Linked DNA regions of Tamandua tetradactyla. The protein of the gene in region 2 interacts with the protein of the main gene of each other region in a pairwise test. Links are inferred from orthologs where the notes say so. Each region holds a gene or a part of one and is shown on either strand. Other genes may lie near its edges.

Evidence for each region.
Region 1: the proteins of GOLGA2 (region 2) and MCM7 interact in binary tests that used the Homo sapiens proteins (3 or more experiments, as listed by UniProt). The two-hybrid records come from large-scale screens. The link is inferred for Tamandua tetradactyla from reciprocal best matches to the Homo sapiens genes GOLGA2 and MCM7.

Annotation. Positions count from the first base shown.
Region 1 is NC_135349.1:8,247,986-8,257,975, forward strand, and holds the start of MCM7 (DNA replication licensing factor MCM7), read right to left. Parts: upstream 3,657-9,990; 5' UTR 3,580-3,656; coding exon 3,549-3,579; intron 3,224-3,548; exon of another isoform or gene 3,102-3,223; intron 3,046-3,101; exon of another isoform or gene 3,026-3,045; intron 2,627-3,025; exon of another isoform or gene 2,575-2,626; intron 2,388-2,574; coding exon 2,308-2,387; intron 2,135-2,307; coding exon 1,970-2,134; intron 1,811-1,969; coding exon 1,686-1,810; intron 1,613-1,685; coding exon 1,432-1,612; intron 1,240-1,431; coding exon 1,102-1,239; intron 798-1,101; coding exon 648-797; intron 449-647; coding exon 334-448; intron 247-333; coding exon 115-246; intron 1-114. Other genes in the region: AP4M1 (AP-4 complex subunit mu-1), read left to right, coding at 3,990-4,047, 4,158-4,246, 4,553-4,659, 4,737-4,833, 4,984-5,094, 5,189-5,269, 5,496-5,558, 5,667-5,733 and 7 more; TAF6 (transcription initiation factor TFIID subunit 6), read right to left, coding at 8,003-8,383, 8,617-8,814, 9,110-9,283, 9,788-9,913. UniProt on the Homo sapiens protein: Acts as a component of the MCM2-7 complex (MCM complex) which is the replicative helicase essential for 'once per cell cycle' DNA replication initiation and elongation in eukaryotic cells.
Region 2 is NC_135328.1:51,073,362-51,083,336, reverse strand, and holds the start of GOLGA2 (golgin subfamily A member 2), read left to right. Parts: upstream 1-5,942; 5' UTR 5,943-6,010; coding exon 6,011-6,094; intron 6,095-7,315; coding exon 7,316-7,426; intron 7,427-8,319; coding exon 8,320-8,400; intron 8,401-9,975. Other genes in the region: DNA repair protein SWI5 homolog, read right to left, coding at 928-1,022, 1,759-1,880, 4,840-4,989, 5,108-5,168, 5,304-5,519, 5,654-5,802. UniProt on the Homo sapiens protein: Peripheral membrane component of the cis-Golgi stack that acts as a membrane skeleton that maintains the structure of the Golgi apparatus, and as a vesicle thether that facilitates vesicle fusion to the Golgi membrane.

The DNA.
Region 1 (9,990 bases), on a different chromosome or scaffold from region 2:
AGCCAAGACATGCACTGTTTATATGTGGCCTCTAGGCACACCAGCCCATGTCTTCCTTTTTCTCCCCCAACGACTACACTGACCTCAGCCTCTCTCCTACCTCGTCTCTCCTACCTCTGATCTTCATGCCTCGAGGAGACTGGTCCACACCTCCCACCAGTAGGAGCAACAGTGCCTTCTTCACATCTTCATGCCCATATATCTCTGGGGCGATGGAGGCTGCCAGTTTTTCATAGAAATCCTCCTCTATAGGAAAATGAAGATTAGAGAATTCACTGGGAAAGAAAAAGGGCCAGGAAGCTCCAACTCCCAACCTTTCCCCTGGCCCCTCACCTGCAATCTGCCTCAGCTCCTCCCTGCTCAGTTCTCCAGCCCCGGCCTCATCATCATCGTTCTTACTCATCTTCACAATCCGGTGGGCTTCCATGTAAGTCTCTGACAGTAAACCCTTGGGCAAGAAAACACCAGGATATTGGTGACATCCCTTTAACTAACTCATCTACTATTGATTCCCCGAGAATTTCCTGACAGACCTTTTGTACTATTTCATCGGTGTCTGCTGTTGGTAATCTTTTCTGTGGGGGAGGAGTGACTGGGTGAGGGGGCAAAAGCAACATTTCCCCCTTATTCTAAACTTCTTTTCTTACCTGTACTACCTGCCGAAATCCAGTGCGCAAGATTGGCAAGAAGATACCAGTGACACTGACGTGATCTCCAGGCTGGGCAATTCTTGTGTTCTCTCCTTCTACCAACACTGTGATGCTTCGAGGGATATGGCCCACAGGTACTTGGTCACTCTAGGGGAGGGGAAGGATATGGACAGCAAAAAGAAAAGAATGTAAGCCCAGAGAGACCTAACCTTCCTGCCCAGGCATCCTGCTCCTCTACTTCTCTCAACCTACCATCCTGAGAAGGGCCTAGGAGGGAAGCCAAGATCTCCCTTACCTCTATCTAACCCAATCAGAAACTTCCGACTAAAGTTAATTTCCCTACTGCTCTAGCTTTCCTTGTTTTTCTCCTTTCTTTTTACCACTCTAGCATCTGCAGGGTTAGAGTGGACTTTCTCCTCTACCTGCTATAGGCCAAACAACCCAAACTCACATGTTCCTGCATCTTCATCTCTTGGAACTTGATGAATTTGGAGCCACGTGTCTGCAGGTACAGCCGCCCTCCTGAGCGGTTGGTTTGGCACTCCTGGCTTGGGCACATGATCAGAGGCATGAAAGTAGGAGACTGGATCTAGGATTTGAGAAAAAGACCAAAGAAAACCAGAAGATAAAGAGCCCCTTAATCACAGGACTGTTCATACCAGGAAAAGAATGAGAAAAGCAAGCACACAGGTATGTTCTACAATTAGCACAGAGAGGAGGAGACAAAAGCAACCCTTACAAAAACTACGAAGACTTAATTGCCTTCCTATTCCTCACATACCGGCTGGTAGGTCTCTGCCCCACACTGGTCACAAGTATAAGTGGCCACCACCATCCTTGGTTTGACTTCAGAGACACGAGTGACAATTCCACGCACGGTTACCAATTTCCCCACAGAGTCAGCCCGTACTTCCCGGATCACACGAGGTTTGTTGCTGCTTGGACCTTGAAAGTACAGCTCACTAAGTAGGGAAAGCAGTCATTAGTAGGGTCCTGGAGAACAAGTTCTAACACCCAGCCCTAGAGACCACTCACAATCTGCGCATAAGCTCAGGAGGGTACTGGTTCTGGGGACTTCGGGTGGCTCCAGGGTCCCGGCTCCGCTGCTCCATCATCAGCCTGTGCTCAATGTAAACATCTAGGACATCTTTATTTATCACCTAAAGGAAGGAGTAAGACAAAAAATTAGTGGCAAGAAGAGGAAAGACAGGACTATCAAGGACCCCAGGCAGAAGCCAAAGTCTCTCCTTTCTGCCAGCTGAGAACCTTTTTGGCAGAAACATAAGTTCCTTACCCTGCGTTTTTCTCCAACCACTCACCTCCCTCTCCTTATACTGAGGCAACAGCTCTTGTACGGCATCAGCAAAAAGCCTTGCATAGCGCTTGGCATTTTCACAAATTGAGTCCACCAACTCAGGGTCCTCCTCGGCCACATCATCCAGGTCCACGTATAGGGCCACTTGTTCCCGATGAGCCAGTTGGACCTGGGAAGGAAAGGGACAGCAATGCTTTAGAACCTAGTTTACTTTATACACCGTATTCACACGAGGACCCACCACCATGTGCTCAAGGAACAGCTCTGGGCATGCAAAGTGAATAAAGAGCAGCTTTTAAGACAGAGCAATACCCAATTCACTACATCTAATCTTAGACTTACCAACTGGTTCCCATACTTGAACTGTTTCTTGCCAAATTCCTCATCCTGGTAAAACTCTTGTAGAAACTTCTTAGCTTTTTCTGTAATGTAAATGTAAGATCATTAAGAACAACCTTTCTTTCAGGTATCTTAACTACAAAACCCTCTGTTGGGAATCTACCTCACTTTTACTTAAAATGTCCAGTAGTTATTTATATACAATTTTAAGTAAATCTACGTGTTTCTCCCAAACCTGTGCATAATTCCTTTGCATTAGTCTGGTCTTACCTGGTAGAATGAAGGACCTCTGGCAGGTAAGAGTGTTACCCAACACTCTCCGCAAGGGGAATCCCAGTATCTGCTACAATTCGAAACCTTAGTACCCTTTCCAAATTGCCTTCCACGCCCTACCACACACTTGGGTCTCTCGGTTATCGGCTTTTCCTGCACCCATGTGATTCCCACTTTCTCTCGGTCCCCTAAATCTCTGCTCTCACGGGGCTCTCAGCCACTAGGCCCGTCCTCCACCCCACCCCCTCTCCCCGCCACTGCTTCCGCTCTTAGTAAACAAAGAAGCACATGGGCCCCAAATCTAGCCGCCTCACAGCCCAGGATTCCTCCGCCCAAGGCGGGAGGCATGTCTGGCCACTGGCCAGCACATCCAAAGCCCCTTCGTCCCATCCCACTACCTTCTCCTTCGACCTCCCGCTAGGCCCCCTAATTCCAGGCACGCCCCCACCGTAAGTAGCTCTCTCCGAGGCTACCGCGCGGAAGGACACTGTTTACACACGACACGCCCTCCCTCCGCGCCGCGCAACTTCCGTCCCGTCTTCACTTCCGCTCGGAGGCTGGCCCACAGCGGCCAATCCGCGGGCGCAGCGGCCCTACTGTTCCCGCCCCCGGAGCTTCGGCGCGTCTCGGAAGGACGCGGGAACCTGTGAGTGCCCACAGCCGGCGGGAAACGGGTCCGAAGGTCCCGGGCCCCGTGGCTGGAATCGCCCAGGCAGGGCTACCTGACGTTCGGGTCTCACCCGTGCGCCATCCCCACTCTGGATCCCTGAGTTTGCTAACCGCCCCACCCCCACCGCGGCCCCACCAGGGTTACCAGCTCCCTTCGACCCCCGAGGGTCCCTGTGCGCCTCCCCGACAACGCCTGCCTCAGCCCCGCCGCCCTCGGCCCCCCAAGAGCCCAGCTTGCGGCAGCGGGTTTTGGCGGTGAGGATTCTCGTGCAAAACGCCCTTCCAGGGCGATGAACCCTCACCTTTCTCTAGCGCGTAGTCCTTCAGTGCCATCGCTGCCCAGGGCCGCGCGGTAGCAGTTGGCGGGCTCTGAACTTTGGCTCCCGGGACAGCAAAGACCGTCCACACGCTAGACGGCGGCAGAACAACCGAAATTGGCGCGAAACGTCGCGCCCCACGTGATCCGCGCCGCTCTGTGCGGGCCAATCGGAGCCGACGGCCTCCCGCCCCTCTCCCCCGCGGCGGGCCACAGCCTCAGCCAATCACCGGACGAGCCTGTGCAGAGTGGCAGGCGGGCAGTCAGGGACGGGGCGGGGCGGGCTCCGGGTTTCCCGCGGTCGCAGCGGGCGCGGCCCCGGAGCGTCGCTAGTAAAGGGCCAGACCCGGCGCGTCCTTTTGTTTCGTGGCCGAGGGCGGGGCAGGCCCAAGATTCGCTGTCCTCTTGTCTACTTCCCAGATCGGCCATGATTTCCCAGTTCTTCATTCTGTCCTCCAAGGGGGACCCGCTCATCTACAAAGATTGTATCCTTGACCCGCGGGGCGGGACAAGGCAGAAGGGTCGGGGAGGGAGCAGTAGTGCTCCAGGGTCCGCCTGCATCGCCGGCCCCTTAACTCCGCTTCCACCCACTCAGTCCGCGGGGATAGTGGCGGCCGAGATGTGGCCGAGCTCTTCTACCGGAAGCTGACGGGACTGCCTGGAGACGAGTCTCCGGTTGTCATGGTAACCATCCGCGGGCCCCGGCGGGGTGCCGGGTGGGCGTCTCCTCCTTCCTGAATCCAGGGCTGTTTCCCACACCCAAATGGTACTAATGAACGTTGAATGAACGCCAGCAGTGTACCAGGCACAGTTCCTTACATGTCTTTGGTATTAATCCCAATTACACAGGGGAAGCTGCGGCGTGGGGAGGTTTTATGTATTGCCCAAAGTCCCATTGTTAGTAAGTAGGGGAAGCAGGATATGAAGTCAGGGTTGCCGGCTCTTCACCTCCACGATTTTCCTAAAACTCTTTTCCCGCCTCTGTCTCAGCACCACGATGACCGTCATTTTATTCACATCAGACACAGCGGCCTCTATTTGGTAGCCACGACTTCAGAAAACATTTCTCCCTTCAGCCTCCTAGAGCTGCTCTCCCGGTGGGTGTGGTGGGCGGGCCCCGGCGGGGGGGGGGGGATCTGAAAAGAGAGGATGCACACTCCTTTTGTTTCCTCAGGTTAGCCACTCTCCTGGGTGACTACTGTGGCTCTCTCAGTGAAGGGACCATCTCCCGCAACGTGGCTCTTGTCTATGAGCTTCTGGACGAAGTGCTGGTAAGGACAAGGGTTTCCCTCAGTTGGCTGCTGTTTTCCTGAGGATAGATTCACTCTTCTACCCGTGGAAACCTGTTGTTGGGATGCCAAGTCCACTCATTTCTCACCCTTGTCCTCCTGACCACGCACAACTCCTTCCTTCACCAATAGGACTATGGTTATGTACAGACCACCTCAACAGAGATACTGAAGAACTTCATCCAGACAGAAGCTGTGGTCAGCAAGCCTTTCAGCCTATTTGATCTCAGCAGTGTTGGCCTGGTCAGTAGAGGATACACGAGGAAGACAGGGAGAGAGAAGGAGGGCTGGCTAGGAATATCAAACCAAAGGAATAACTGCTTTGGGTGCTTTGCAGTTTGGAGCTGAGACACAACAGAGCAAGGTGGCTCCCAGCAGCGCAGCCAGCCGCCCTGTTCTCACCAGTCGCTCTGACCAGGTGAGGGAGGGCTTGGCAGGGTCAGACCCTTCTTTTATTTTCTGGGGACCAGAGTCCCAGATCCCTACATATCCTTGCACCTCCTCTAGACATCCTGCCCTTCCCTTCCTTCACCCCAAGTCTCCAACCCCAGGCCCTAGCCTCAACTCTCCAGTCCTTCCTGTCTGTCCATCTTGGAACACAGGCTGTTCAGCCTCCAACCACCTAAATCTTCTCTATTCCTCAGAGTCAGAAGAATGAAGTTTTTTTGGATGTGGTGGAGAGACTGTCTGTACTGATAGCATCTAATGTAAGTTTGGACCCCATACTCTGGAACTGAGGACAGATGGCACTCGAGAGACATGTTGGGGAGGTCACAGTTCTGGGCTTTATAATCTCCCTGCCTTGCCTCTCTCAGGGTTCACTGCTGAAGGTGGACGTGCAGGGGGAGATCCGACTCAAGAGCTTCCTTCCTAGCGGCTCTGGTGAGACTCTGCAGATTGGCCCCAGGCCTGGGTGGGACAGGCTCCTTGGTGGCACTTGTGTTTGGTGACTTTCCTAGTATTTTCTCTTCTGACAGAGCTGCGCATCGGATTGACAGAAGAATTTTGTGTGGGGAAATCAGAACTGAGAGGTGAGGAGAATGTGGGTCTTTCTCTGTTAGTATAGGTCACTGCCAAAGATCTCGTAGAAGTTGGATTGGTTTAGATCAGGCCCAGGCAAGGGCATTTGGGTCTGAGAGATGGCCCTTCCCTGTTTTTCTCTCCCAAAGTAGGTTAAGAGAGGGGTCTGTCTTTCCAGGTTACGGGCCAGGAATTCGGGTCGATGAGGTCTCATTTCACAGTTCTGTGCATCTGGATGAGTTTGAATCTCATCGAATCCTGCGCTTGCAGCCACCTCAAGGCGAGGTCAGGATGGGTGGCCCAGCATATTCTGTCCAGTATGGAGAGGCAGTTCAGGTGTGAGGAGACCAAACTGATCTCTGCTCCTCTCTGGTTGCAGCTGACTGTGATGCGATACCAGCTCTCCGATGACCTTCCCACCCCTCTCCCCTTCCGGCTTTTTCCCTCTGTGCAGTGGGATCGAGGCTCAGGCAGGTGAGACTGTTTTCCCTGTTCTAGAACTTCTTTGGGATTCAAGCCCATACTCGTATATCCTCCAGTCTTCTTATGGAGAGATGGTGGTGAGGGAGTGCAGATCAGCAGAGGGCACCCCTCCCAAGTGGACTCAGCCCCACATATGCAAGGCTTATCTAGTGGAATCAGGTTGGGTCCCAGTCAGCATCCCTTCTCCTGGGGCACAGCTCACAATCTACACAGCCATGTGTGGAGGCCCTAGGTAGGGAATGGTGAGGTGCTGGTAGGAAGTGTCCTAAGTAGTGCTGTTTTATTCTTTCACCCAGGCTCCAGGTTTACCTGAAGTTACGGTGTGACCTGCCTGCAAAGAGGTAGGAGTTAGGGCTGACTGGGGCTAGTGCAGCTTTGTGGCATAGGAGCCAGGGCGAAGATACCCATTGCCTCTTCCTTCATCCACCAGCCTCAGAAACCAATTCATTTAGAGGCTCTTTGAGTTTGGGAAGGGGATGGGGTGGCTGATGTCCAGGTGTGACCTTAAAGAAAGATGGGGGTAAGCTGACTCTACCTTCTTGACTTCGTTCATTTCTTTTTTTTTTTTTTGGTGCATGGGCTGGGAATTAAACCAAGTCTCCCACATGTCATTCATTTCTCCTTTGTAGCCAAGCACTCAACGTCAGACTGCACCTTCCCCTGCCGCGAGGGGTGATCAGGTTAGCATGTACACACTACAGGGAGCTGGGTGGACGGCAGGATGTGCTGTAGGAGGAGGGCACAACTTGCCTGCAGCCCCCCTACCCCCATCCCAGGAAAGTGCAGGCTGAGCCCAATCCCTTTCCTTTCCAAATCTCAGCCTTTCTCAGGAGCTGAGCAGCCCGGAACAGAAGGCAGAGCTGGGGGAGGGAGCCCTTCGCTGGGACCTACCTCGTGTTCAAGGAGGCTCTCAGCTCTCAGGCCTTTTCCAGGTATCAGCTCTTGGTTCTTGAACAGCCTCTCCCACAGCCTCCATTTCCAGCCCTGACCATGCCTCCAGAGTTGCTGTTTTGTTCCTCCACTGTGGTTAGTGTGCTCACTTCTTGGCTCTCTGCCAGCTCCCCTCCAACCTTCAGCACTCCTCTCCTGTCTCTCCTCACAGATGGATGTCCCAGGCCTCTCTGGGCCTCCTGGCCATGGGCCCTCCACCCCGAATCCTCCTCTGGGGCTGGGCCCTGCAAGCCTCTCCTTTGAGCTTCCCCGGCACACCTGCTCTGGCCTCCAGGTGCGCTTCCTCAGGCTTTCCTTCAGACCCTGTGGCAACATCAACCCCCACAAGTGGGTGCGGCACCTAAGCCACAGCGATGCCTACGTCATCCGGCTCTGAGGATCCCCAGATGAGGACGCAGGCAGCAAAGTATGGTCCAGGCTCCTGGCCTGTGGTTGTGGATCTGGACTGGGAGAGTCCTGGGACCTGAGAGATCAGGAAGGATTGATGGGTTTGAGGCTTATGTGGTGTCTAACACAGGAAAGACTGAGGTGGATCAGAACTTACCAAACCAAACTTTTATTCTGAGGAACTGGCTGTACAATATCTAAAAAGAAAGGGAAATGAAGGAAGTAGGCTACTACTTCTTTCCACTCAACGTGTGTGTGTGTGTATGTGTGCACGTAGGAATCTGTAGAAGACAGCAGATAAATGACAGCATCAAGGAGCAGGCTGTGGGGAGCCAGATCCAGGGGGCTGGGAGCCATTGGCCTTTGGAGTTCCTGGGGCTGGAGGGGGACTATCCCCAGCTTCCTGCTTCCCCCCACAGAGGGCACTGCTCCCAAGGGGGGAAGGGGATGATGAGGGAGGAGGAACAGGAGAAGGGTGGGAGGTGGGACCTCCTTTGCCCTCCCCTGTTGGGGGAAGAGAGACCACAATGTACTTCTGGACACTGCCTGGTCCAGAGGGAGCAGTGCTGGGTGGTGCAGTGGTGGCCGTGGAGACCAGCTTAACAATGGGCTGGACACTGGGGACTGTGGTGGTGACAGGAGAGGTAGTGGTAGAGCCTGAGCCTGGGGCCGAGGTGCTGAGGGACAGGACCTAGGAGAAGAAAGAAAAGGCAGGGCCTTGAGCCCTCTGACCAGAGGTTCTTTCCCCAGAAGCCAGGGGTCATAGTCCACTTCACAAAGTACTGCCAGCTCAGGGACCATGTCAGGCCAAGCAGTGATGGTTCCACAGCACCCCACAAAGGGCCCCTTTCATCTTCTGTCTTTGGGGCCCTCCAGGGTGCTTTGGGGTGACCCAGACCCCTTGCCCCAACAACCTCCACATACCTGTTGGGTGGATGAGGCACTGGAGGATGATGACATTACAATAAACTTGGTTGGAGGAGGAGAAGGCTGAGGAGGGGCAGCAGCTCGTGCAGACACCAGTGTCTGGACAGGCAGTGCAATAGAGCCAGGGACCTTTAGCAAACCAGGGGTACGAGGGCCAGGCTGAGGTGCCTGGGAGAGGGTCAGCGTGGGCCGGGGCTATAGGAAGAAGAGGCGAGACTATCAAAACCCAAGAGAAAAAAGGCGAGGAAACACCTGGGCTCCTCTTGCTGCTGCTCTGGTTCCCATCTGGGGGCGGGGCATATATACTAAGGAAGCCTGGACTCAGAGTTGGACAGCTCTGGAATTTAAAATTTAAAGTGACTGCTTGTGTCAGAGTGTGTGTGTGAGTCCCAGGCCTGGCAAGGATCACAGCTCTGTCATGCCCCAGCATTTTCTAATTTCCTCTCATCTTCTTTTCCACTTGGTTGCTCCCCCTCCCTCTGGCACTGACCTGGGTGATGGTCAGTGTAGTCCTGTTGACCTGCTGAGCCTGCAGAGCAGCCTGAGCCCGGGCCTTGACCACATGGGAGCAGAGAAGGGGCCCAAGGGACCCAAATTCTGTCCGATAGGCATCCTGGTTGTCAGGCGGAGGGCGCAGCTTTGCCAGAACTGGGGCACAGTGTTTCTGCAGAGAAGCCAAGAAAAGGCATGTAGAGGGAGGGTTGGTGCTCAGAACAGGGATGGGAAAGGGGTGATTTCCCATTATTTCCATATGTTTCTGGTGGAGGCCTGTGTGTGAAAGGAATGCTGTGGCTTTTCTTCAGAAGAATGCTTCAGGCTCCTACCAGTGTGAATGGAGAATTCGCTAAACATGCAGGTGAGCCATCCCTAAGGGGATGGTCAGCCTGTACAGAGTCTGCTCTGCACAAAATGGGCCTAGAGTGATGTGAAAGCATCAGGGGGCAGTGCTGTCTAGAAGCCACCGTTTGAGAGTCCAGATTCTTTATTTCCTACTTAACCCCTCGGTGCCTCTGTTTTCCCATCTGCAAAACAATATTGGCCTTTGAAATGTGCTCTGAATAAATGAGACAAAAGACGGGAGTGTTTGGATAGAATGGTTAAAACACTGAACGTGTGTGTGGAGGGATGGGTTGGACAAAGGGCATGGCAGGGCAGGGGCTCCGGTCACCAGGAGGAGGCTTTGCACGTGATCAGCTCCGATGCGGTCGATGGTGCTCAGCACGGGGCCATCTAGGACGCTGCGGATCCGCTCCCCCTCCTGCTGCAGCCGCGGCAGGAGCAAAGTCTTAATCACCTGTTAGAAAGGAAGGGGGGTGGGGGTGGGGGCTATGCACAGGCAGTTCAGTGGTAGAATTCCTGCCTGCCACGCAA
Region 2 (9,975 bases):
TCAAAACATAAGCCAAGTAAGAACAGAGATTTTCAGATGTCTCGTTCGCCAAAGTGTCCCCAGCACCCTGTTGAGTATATCTGGCATACAATAGGTAGGAAAGGCTGCCTGCTCCAGGTCATAGGACTGGAAGCAACAGGTCAAGCTGGAGTCTTACAATAGAGTTTATGCTTTTAACTACTAGGCTTCATTCCCCTCACATTTCTTTCTCCTTGGGCCCTGGTAATCCTCCTCTCTTTATCTATCTATACTTCCCTCCTTCTCCTACTCTGGGAACATTCCCCAAAGAAACACAGAGAAGCCCTCCCTGCAGTGGAATCTGGATGATGTCAGGCATTTCTGGAACAGCTGTTAAAACTCATACAGCAATTAGGCAGACAGTGCAAGTTCTGAACACTATCCTGAATGATCACTGGCCACCAAATATCAGAATGCCCACCACTCTGGCCATCCTCATGTCTCCTTGCATCCAGAGTAGGCTGTCCTAACCAGCTCAGACACAGGTACCTGTGGTTTGCTTAAAGCCCTCTGGATAGGGAGTTTCCAAAATACCTCTTTTAAGACATAAAGGGTTGCCTTTGCAGTTTCTGCCTGTTTAGCACTTCAGCCACTTGAAGTGGCCCTGGAAGACAGAGAGCCCTCAGTCCTCAGTCTACAAATGGACAAACCCATTCTCAAACTTCTTTGCAGCTCTGAACCGAGCTCTGTACTAAGCAAAAAGAAACCTAGGATTTCAAGTAAGAGTTTCCTGTGATCAGGGAAGGCAGAGACTGGTGAGAAGAGAGGTGGTGAGGCATTTGGAGAGTGAGGTAGCTGACAAGGATGGGAGGGTTGGCAAGTGAGAAGACCCAGGAGAAAATCCAACCGCCCCTGGGGGTAGGGATTCCCTCTGAGCCCAGGTTACTGATCCAGAGTCCTGCTACTCACCTAGTTTGCCCAGCAGCATCTGGCCTACATCCTTGATCTCATTATACTCGTGCAGCTGTAAAATGTGGTCCTCTAATTCATCCACACTGTAGCCTCTAGAAAGAAGGGTGGAGAGAGGGAAGAGAGACCCCTTAAGATAGCTAATGAGGACTCAAGGCTCAGATAGTAATGAAGCATCTGTTTAAAAAGTGCTTGTTATGGGTCTACTAGGTGATAGGAACTGGGGATATAGTGATGGCAAGACAGACCCTGCTACCATGAAGCTTAATGGATGGCAGGGTCTCTGTCCAGTCTCTTACTCCTGGCAAATGTTTCTTGTATCCTTAGAGAGGAGTGCCCCATCATATTAGTACTATGTGACCCTCACCACAGCTGAGTGGCTCACAGATGGGCACATGATCCAAGCTGTCTAGTGAGATTCTCTCAAATATGAAATGTGGATTTGAAGTCTGCTCAATCTCTGCCATGGGGCTGCAGCATGGTATAATGTAAAATCCAGGAGCTATAGAACATCCAGTTTCCCTTATGCATTGAAAACCTTGCTGAAGAAAGAGACTAGAGTATCTGTGCAGATGGATGCAGACGAAGAGAATGGGAGCCCAAGAGAGAGACCGGAAGAGTGACTGACTCCACTCCTGACAGCTTTCCAGTTTCCAGTTCTGGGCTCTCCTGAGGCCGACCAGCCTCCCTGCCCTGAAGGCCACTGAGTCACCATGAATCCAACAGCACAGTCCTGTTTTTACGCTAAGCTAGTGTGACCAAGTTTCAGTTACTGGGCACAAATCAAAAGTTTTCTTAACCATGTCGAGGAATCCAGCAAAGGGGACTTACTCAGATAATAGTTGGGAGATCTCCTTGTCCAACATGTCCCTCTTCTCTTTCAGCTTCTGAATGTCAAGCTGAAGAGAATCCTCGCTGGCTCCATTGGCCGGGTCAGACTTGGGAGACAGCATCTGAGTGGCAGAAAGTCATTAACTGGACTGGCCAATTATCTGTAATTCTGAGTCTACAAAGTGCCTCCCCCATTAATCACTCTACTTTTTTGTCGTGGTAATAGAAACCTACCTCCCTATTGAATGGGACTATATTTCCCAGCCCCCTTTAGGATTAGATGAGCCCTATGACTACATTCTGGCAAATGGAAGGCAATCAGAAATGGTGTATACAATATCTGGGAATCATCCTTCGAGGCAGAAGGCATGCCTTTCTCTGGCTTTTCCTCTTACCTACAGGCTGGAATGCAGATGTAATGCTGGTGTTGAACAACTATCTTGGAAGATGACATAGAAGCCATACATTGAAGTCATGGCAGGACAAGATAGAGGCATGGGTACTTAGTGATTTTTTTTTTCCACATGGGCAGGCACTGGGAATCAAACCCAGGTCTCTGGCATGGCAGATGAGAAGTCTGCCACTGAGCCACCATTGCCTGCCTCTTAGTGATTTTTAAGTCACTGTTATCTGGAGCTTTCTTTCACTCTCAGGCAAGTCCAATCCTAACTAATATACCTACCCTATTCCTCAATCTGACCCAAAAAATTCCGTTTCTGGTCACCTTCTTGGGTTCTCAAATCTGCTATGTCCCTGGAATTATAATCTCACTGGAGGGCAAAATACTTTCTAGGAGCTAGTTTTATCTTTGTCCTTTTTGTCCCTAAAGGCTGTGAAGGCTAATCTCAAAACAATTTGTTTTACGTGAAGTGTCTAGACAGAAGAGAATAAGGAAGACATGGTTCCTGTTCTTAGATCTGTGGCTTTTAACCAACAAATAGTGACAGCATTATCTGCCAGGCATTGGGAAAAGCTCCAGGAGCTTAACAATGGACAAGGCATCAAGCCTGGTCTTGTCTTCATGAAACATCAAGCCTGGCCCCAGATAGAAAAGACCAAACAATTATGCCCTTCCTCCAGACATTTCCACTGAAACTTGTTCTCACATGTCACTGCATACACTCTGTCTACAACGATAACTCCTCAATCACTTGTTATCCTTTACCCTGACTTTTTATAGCATTATCACCACCTGACATAAACATTTCATCAATGTTACTACTTTCATTGTCTGCCTTAAACCACTAGAGTATAAGCTCCATGAAGACAGGGACTTTCATTTGTTCAAAGCTGATTCCATAGTGTCTGTGACTGTACCTGTCACATAAAGAAGCACCCAATATTTGTCAGATGAATGACATATAATTAATCAACTAATTACAAGTCTAAAAAGTGTCCTGAAGTGGAAGCACAGGGTGAATCAGCTGAGCCAAAAGTGGGGAGAATGCTGAGAAAGCTGAATCCTGAAAGTATGGAGAAGGCTAAGAAAGCTGAATACGGAGGGATGAGCAAGCAAAAAGATGGCAAAAGAAAAGGATGGAAGAAAGGATTCCAGACAGAGGGGACAGTATATCCAAAGGTCCTTAGCCAGGGGACAGCACAATGTGTTTGAGAACTGAGAGTGGTTTCAGTGTGGGTGGAATGGGGTGGGTGAAGGGATAATAAAAGTGCTGTGAAAAATAATAAAAATAATTAACTGTGGTGCCATTAATAAGGAGGAGAGACAGTTTGAGTGACTAGGGGACCACTGATGTGAGGATGGTTGGAAAGGAAAGTAGAGGTATCCTGCTGGCAGCTGTTAAGTGTCCAGAGAGGTCCGGCCTAGAGAGAGATGGGAGAATCATCTGCACTGACATGAGCTGAAAGCACTGAAGTGAGATCTTTGAGGGAGTGTGTAGAAAAAACAATAGAGGGAGGATGGTGGAACCACAAGAATACACCCAAATTCATGTTAAGGAAGAAACAGGAGGCAGAGGAGCCAGCCAAGCAAGCAAGGAAAAACAGAGGAGGATCAGGATAAGGTATCTTCCAAAGAGGCCCAAAGAAGGTATTAGTTAAGAGCTAAGGATCTAGAGTCAGGCTGCCTCAGTTTAAATGCTGCAACTCCATCACTCCCAGGACTGTGAGATTTATAATCTCTCTGGAACTCAGAGTCCTCATCCGCTTCTGCCTCAAAGGTTGTTGAAAGGATTCAGCAAGATGAATCAACCACAATGATTGAGGCAAAGTAAGGGCTTAGTAAAATAAAAGACTTGACTTGTTAGTGATGGGAATGAATGTGCTAGGCAGAATCAGAAGACACAGGGAGGTCAAAGACAATGAATACTGAGACTCTCTGAAAGAAAGTAACATCAGGGTACTTTTAGAGAGAGGGTCAATCAACCTGGTACTTTTGGTGAACTTGTGGCTTCCCACCCACATCATCTGGCCTAATCTACCCTGTCAGTTAGCCCTTGCCTCTGACTTCACTACCACTGGGGAGCTCTCACTGCACTCCTAAGTCTGGGCTCCTCCTCACATAAATGTGCTCATATGGTCCTGGAATTCTGCCTGTTCATCATCCTCAGCCTGTGCCTCCTTGGGAGGCAGGGACTACCGCATACACTTGCATCCCTGATGCCAGCCTCAGAGCAGTTGCTTAATCAATGTTGAACGCATAAATGTGTACCAAGTATTTCACAGTCTAACTTGAGAGTGGGGGAAGTGGTGGGAATCCCATGGGGCAGGGGTGGGGTGGGGTGGGGGAGATAAGGGGAGAAGGCAAAGGAGGTCATGTTTTGGGGGTGGTTTGCTAGAGAAGAGGAGACAATTGCAGCTATGCCTGTTCCCGACAGAAGAGTTTTGGGTATGTTTAAAGGTAGGGCTGGGTGAAGGGAGAAACCAGTGAGCAGGTGAGTTGGCTGGTGCCAGAGACCAGCAAATACATCTGGGAGGCAGGGAGAGGGCAGGGCGGAGGGGATTCCAGCCACTAGCACAGAATTTGGCTTCTGACAGGACAGGACAATGATTCCCCCCCCCAAACTTAGCAGACAGGAGGAAAAAATGTGTGTAGGGGTGAGAAGATGAGGGATTGAGAAATACCCTGGAGTTTCTCGGCAGAATAAGGTCTGAGAGGGAAGATCTTTGCCTTTCTTCTGGCCGAAGCCAGTCGGTTCTGTCGGGTTTCTTCCGACCCCGCGGGGAAGGGAGGGGGACGGAGGGTGGGGCCACATCATCCAGTCCCAGCAGCCACTGCGAACCAACCGCTGGATGAGGGCTAGGAGTAGATCACCTGCCGCTGAGGACGGAGAGGAGGGCAAGAGGTAGTTAGGTACGAGTGTAGGGGGGGCGGGGGCACAGACATACTCACAGGGGATCTGAAGGTCCCGCGGCAACTAGTGGAAAGTCCTGGTTGAGTCCTGGAGAGGAATCTGAGGAAAAAAACTAGTTAGACTTCACGGGTGCTCTGGGAGGAAAGGGTGCTGTGGGGTTGTGGGAGGAAGAGCAGATGTGAAGTAAAAGCGACCCGAACTGGATCCAGCTGGGAGGGGTAGCGATATACTCACGAGATTAGGGTAGGTACCGGACCCTCGAGGAAGGGGAGGGTCCCAGATGGGGAGGGAGTGTCTGGTGGGGCGGTGGAGCGGGGTTTTGAGAGGGTGAGAAAGTCTGGAACCGTTGCGGAGTCAGGAGAAGGGCTGTGAGGGATTGAGCCTTCCCCTTTCTCCGCTCCTCGCCTACCTCCTGAGCCCAGGAGTCCGGGGTCCCCGGCTAGGGGGAGTCTGCGGTGGGGGAGGGTCCAGGACTAGAGCTGGAGATGGGTCTTAGATCTGAGGAGTAACGGTAACCCGGAGTGGGAAATGAACCGCCATAATGAGACCTGCGCGCGCACCCTGGAAAGGCGGGTCCGCCCCACCTCAGAGTAGGAGGAGGTAGCGGTTGCGCCCCGCCCCCAGGGTGGGAGGAGACGTCTGTTGGGCCCCGCCCCTCCAAGGCGGGCGGAGACAACGGTCGCGCCCCTCCCCCCAAAGTGGGCGGAGACGTGACTCCGCGAGGATCTTTCATTGTGAGCACACCCTCCCGGCCACGCCCACAGTGATATGGCCCCGCCCCTTTCCGTGTCATCTTTCTCCTCGCCCAATGGACGGGGAGATTTAGGCCACGCCCACATTCTATGCTGCTTAGTACCTCCCTGGTCCCTCCCTTCCCTGGCTCAGTCACACATCGGCGCGGTAGCTAGCGGAAGCGATTTCGCAGTGGCTGCTGGGATTAGATGATGTGGCTCCCCCGTCCCCCTCCCCTTCCCGAGATGTCGGAAGAAACCCGACAGCAGAAATTGGCTTCGGCCAGAAAGAAGGTAAAGCGCGCTGGGTCGCGGCTCCCGACCCAGCCCGGAGGCCCCTCCGACCCACCACACGGTGACCAGAGTCTGAACTGCCCCTGAGGCAAACGGGAAGAGCCCCTCGGCTCCCCTTGGCGCCCCTCTCGTCTTTTCAGCCAGTCCCGCCCCCTCGGCTGCCTAGCTCCCGCCCTCGCCCGTCGCTCCTGGGTGACTTTGGGCCGGTGACCCCCAGGATCCCTGCTCTGAGCGGGGCTCTCGGGTCCTGCTGCCCAGAACCGAGCCACCGTGGGCTCTTGGCCAGCTTGGGTTCCCGGTCTCCTGGGACCTCGGTCCCGGCGCTGGTCTCCCCTCCCCCACCGCCGAGCGGTGACTCGGAGGAGGGTAGGGAGAGATGGAATGCAGTTACGTCACAGTCCCCCTCGGAGCTGTCATTATCGCCATGGGACCAGCCTTTGATCTTCCGATCCGATCCCCAGTGTTCACCCCTTTCCGGCTTCTCTGGTCGCGGAGCAGATTACCAGCTTGAAGGGAACTCGGGACTGTGGGACATAGGCAGAGAGGTTTCAGGCTCCCATACTTTGGCTATACCGCATCCTTAGACATTGACAGCCCACACTTCACCGCTGATCTCAAAATGTTTACAACATCGCTTGGTGACAAGGGGAGAGCTTACTGTTGGCTTTTTCTCCCAGGCTTCTACTCTCCAGAGAGACTTTGAAATATTTCTTGTTGTCTACCTCACATTCTAATACCCTAAGATTCTGGGACCAGACTCCCCCTCATTTGATGCTCTTTAGAGTAAGATCTGCTTATCTTCTGTGCTATAGATCCTGGGAAAATGCATGAATTTCACTATTGGGAATCTTCTTCATGTCATCTTCTTGACTTAGGGTTCTCTGAAGTGTGCTTACTGTATGAAGTATAGAAAGGATCCCTATATCTAATTTCTAAATCATACAGTGTATTGGTCTTGCCCATTTAATAATTACTTTTCGATGTCCATCTCTGGTTTTTCCCCTTGGCAGCTATTGATTATGGGAGAACCCCAGAACTTCTAAGTCAAAAATTTAAATAACTTTTTTTTAAGCCATGTTACCTATCACTTGACTTTTTTGAGTCCATTTCTTCGGTAATTAAACGAAAATTATACACCCTGTAGAGTTGGTGTGGCATTAAATCAGATTGCATCCAGGGGCTTAGATTTCTCATGAGCGTCTCTCCTTTTCCTTTCTGCAGTTACGCGAATTTCAGATGAAAAACAATCTTCCTGTTCCTCCAAGAGTGAAGAAAAAAAAGATAGAAAATGGTCCTGAAACACCAACTTCTGATGACCACTCACCTGAGGATGTGAGTCTTGGCTGGCCAGGCTTCCGGGGATAGGGATGCAGAAAGAGCAGTAGAGGAGAAGGGTTAAGATTATGGAAGAGGAAGTATTAAGTGCTAGTTAAGAATTCTGACTTTGTCTTCCTCTGCTAAGGATGTGGTTTTAGAAAAATTGTTCAAGCTCTTTGGGACTGTTTTTGCACATCTGTAAAATAGAGATACTGTTTTATTTATATATTGTGAAGTTTAAATGAGAATTGTTGCTGTTTTTATAAAAGTCCTTAAGTACAGGGTCTGGTACAGAGTAAATATTCAATAAATGGTAGTTTCCATTTGACCTGTTGCTCTGGTGATTTTCCTCATTCCCAGCCTCAGTGAGAAGCCAAGCTGATGAGAACAGCCACTTGCTGTCAGGTTCTCCCTTTAGAAAGTCCCAACAGAGCCCCAAGGTGTGATGAAGAAAGCCCCAGCCACTAGGATTAGGAGAAGGTCTGAGTTCCGAGTCTCTTTGCCACCAGTTTGCCTTCAGAAAATCTCTTCCTCCCCTGAGCCTCATTTCCTCATCTGTAAGATGATATTGCTGGACTAGAGCAGCATCTTTCAAACTTTTTTTAGCTGTAGCTCCCTTTGTTCAAATGAACCCTTACTCAAAAGTGTGTTTCCCCCCCGTCTATGTGACTGCTTAATTTAGTGAACTTCTCCATTTATTTGTGTACATTGATTTCTGCCTCTGGCAAGACAGCAAGTGGCTGTTTGGAAGGACGGCACAGCCTGCGGTATTGATCCCCTCCTGTATCTTCTTCAGCATCCCATTTCCCTGAACCCACCTCTTCTTCGCTGTCCTGACTCTTACCTCTTTCTAAGTCACTTCTCTCTTTCTCCCCCCTCCCCCTATTTTCCTCCTTTGCTGCCTGTAGATTCAGGACTTTCTGAAGGTGTTGGTGTCCGACCTTAACCGCTCCAATGGGGTAGCACTACCCTCATTGGACAAGTGGAAGGTGAGGCAGTGCCAAGACCCCCTCTCTGGCTTGCTCTCTCCGCCTGTGCATGCTCCTGAGGCTTTTCTGGTTTGGGGAATTCTTTACTTCTAGCTTATTTTATGTTGCTGTCATTAACCTTCAGCCTGCTCATATCTTTTCACCTGCTTGATTGTTTTTTTCCCTTCCCCCAAGTCTTTTATCACCTTGGAGAAGGTGGTAGTGTATCTTAGGTAATTTAGGAATAACTTTCAGAGCAGGGATATAAGCTATTTGGGCCTCGGTATTGAATGTCCAGTGGTGCTATCAGACTAGGAGAGATTTTTTAAAAATCTTTGTCTTGCCCTTAGATCATCTATTCCTAGGGGGCCAGTAGACCACAAAGATGTTTGTGATTTTTCGAATTGAGGAATTCTTTTTGGTTTGAGTGTAGGAAATATATGGGTAAGAGATTATAGCTGAAAGAATTGAGGTTCTTTTTTCAGAAGAGCTCATTGTAAAGGCTGTGAGGTTAACCAAACAGATGAGTGGTTAGGATCTTCTGCTCCCAGTCTTTTCTAAAAATCACCTGAGCACTCAGCCATGTTCATTGGGCCATGCACTTTGCTAAACAGTGGAGAAAACAGATAAACAAGACGTGGTACACACTGAGGGAAGTAGGCCCCTCTGAAGTAAGTGAGGTAGAATGTGACAACATTACAAATGGTCAGTTAAAGTAGAGGTTAGTTCTGGATGGGCTTGAGGATGGAGGAAATGGCATTTGGTGCTGGTTTGAAGGGTAAAGGTGGGTAGTTTTCATCCATGTGGAGAGTGGGGGAGATAGGAATTCTAAGCACAGGGAGTAGTACAGGTAATGACTGGAATCATAAGCTCACAGGGCACCTTCCAGGAAGCCAGGGCCTGGAGTGGTGCAGGGTATCGGGGGTGCATAGGGCTAGGAGATGATCTCTGACCTCTTCCAGATGTGATGTTAGCACTCCCTCCTTAACTAACTTACCTGAGAGACATCTGCCAAGGCATAATAGAAGGGCTGTTTGAGGTTTCCCCATGAGGCATGAGGAAAGGGACTGAGAAAGGTTACTATCAGCTGGTGTTAGAAAGATTTTTTAAATCACAGGACTGTTCACACCCAGTTGGTCAGGTCTATCAAGCTGTTGTGACTTGCCTGGTTGATTTAGAGGAGAGGTGGCATGGCATGATGAGGGAAGCGCAGTGCTAGGATTCATGAATCCATGTGTTTTGCTTTTGTTGTGTGATGATCCAGTCATTTAGGGGATCTGGCACCTCAGGTCCTCATGAAGTTCTCAGAAGCCAGAGTCTTAGGGTCCAGAGAGAAAGCAGCCCTTTCTTCTGACACAGATGTAGCCTCTTCCTCCCCAGGCCCAGCTTCCCTGGGCAAGCTTTAGCCTCTCAAGGTCTTCCCTTGCCAAGCTTTAGCAGCTGTTCACCTTCTTTCCCATGGTGGAGGGAAGAAAGGAGAGCTAAAAAGGAAAGAGGCAGGTAGCCATGTTGATCACATCTACTACTTCATCACTGCCGTCCTCTGCCCAGAAGGGGCCAAGGGTTAGGGTCACTCTGGGGCACAAACTAGCTTTC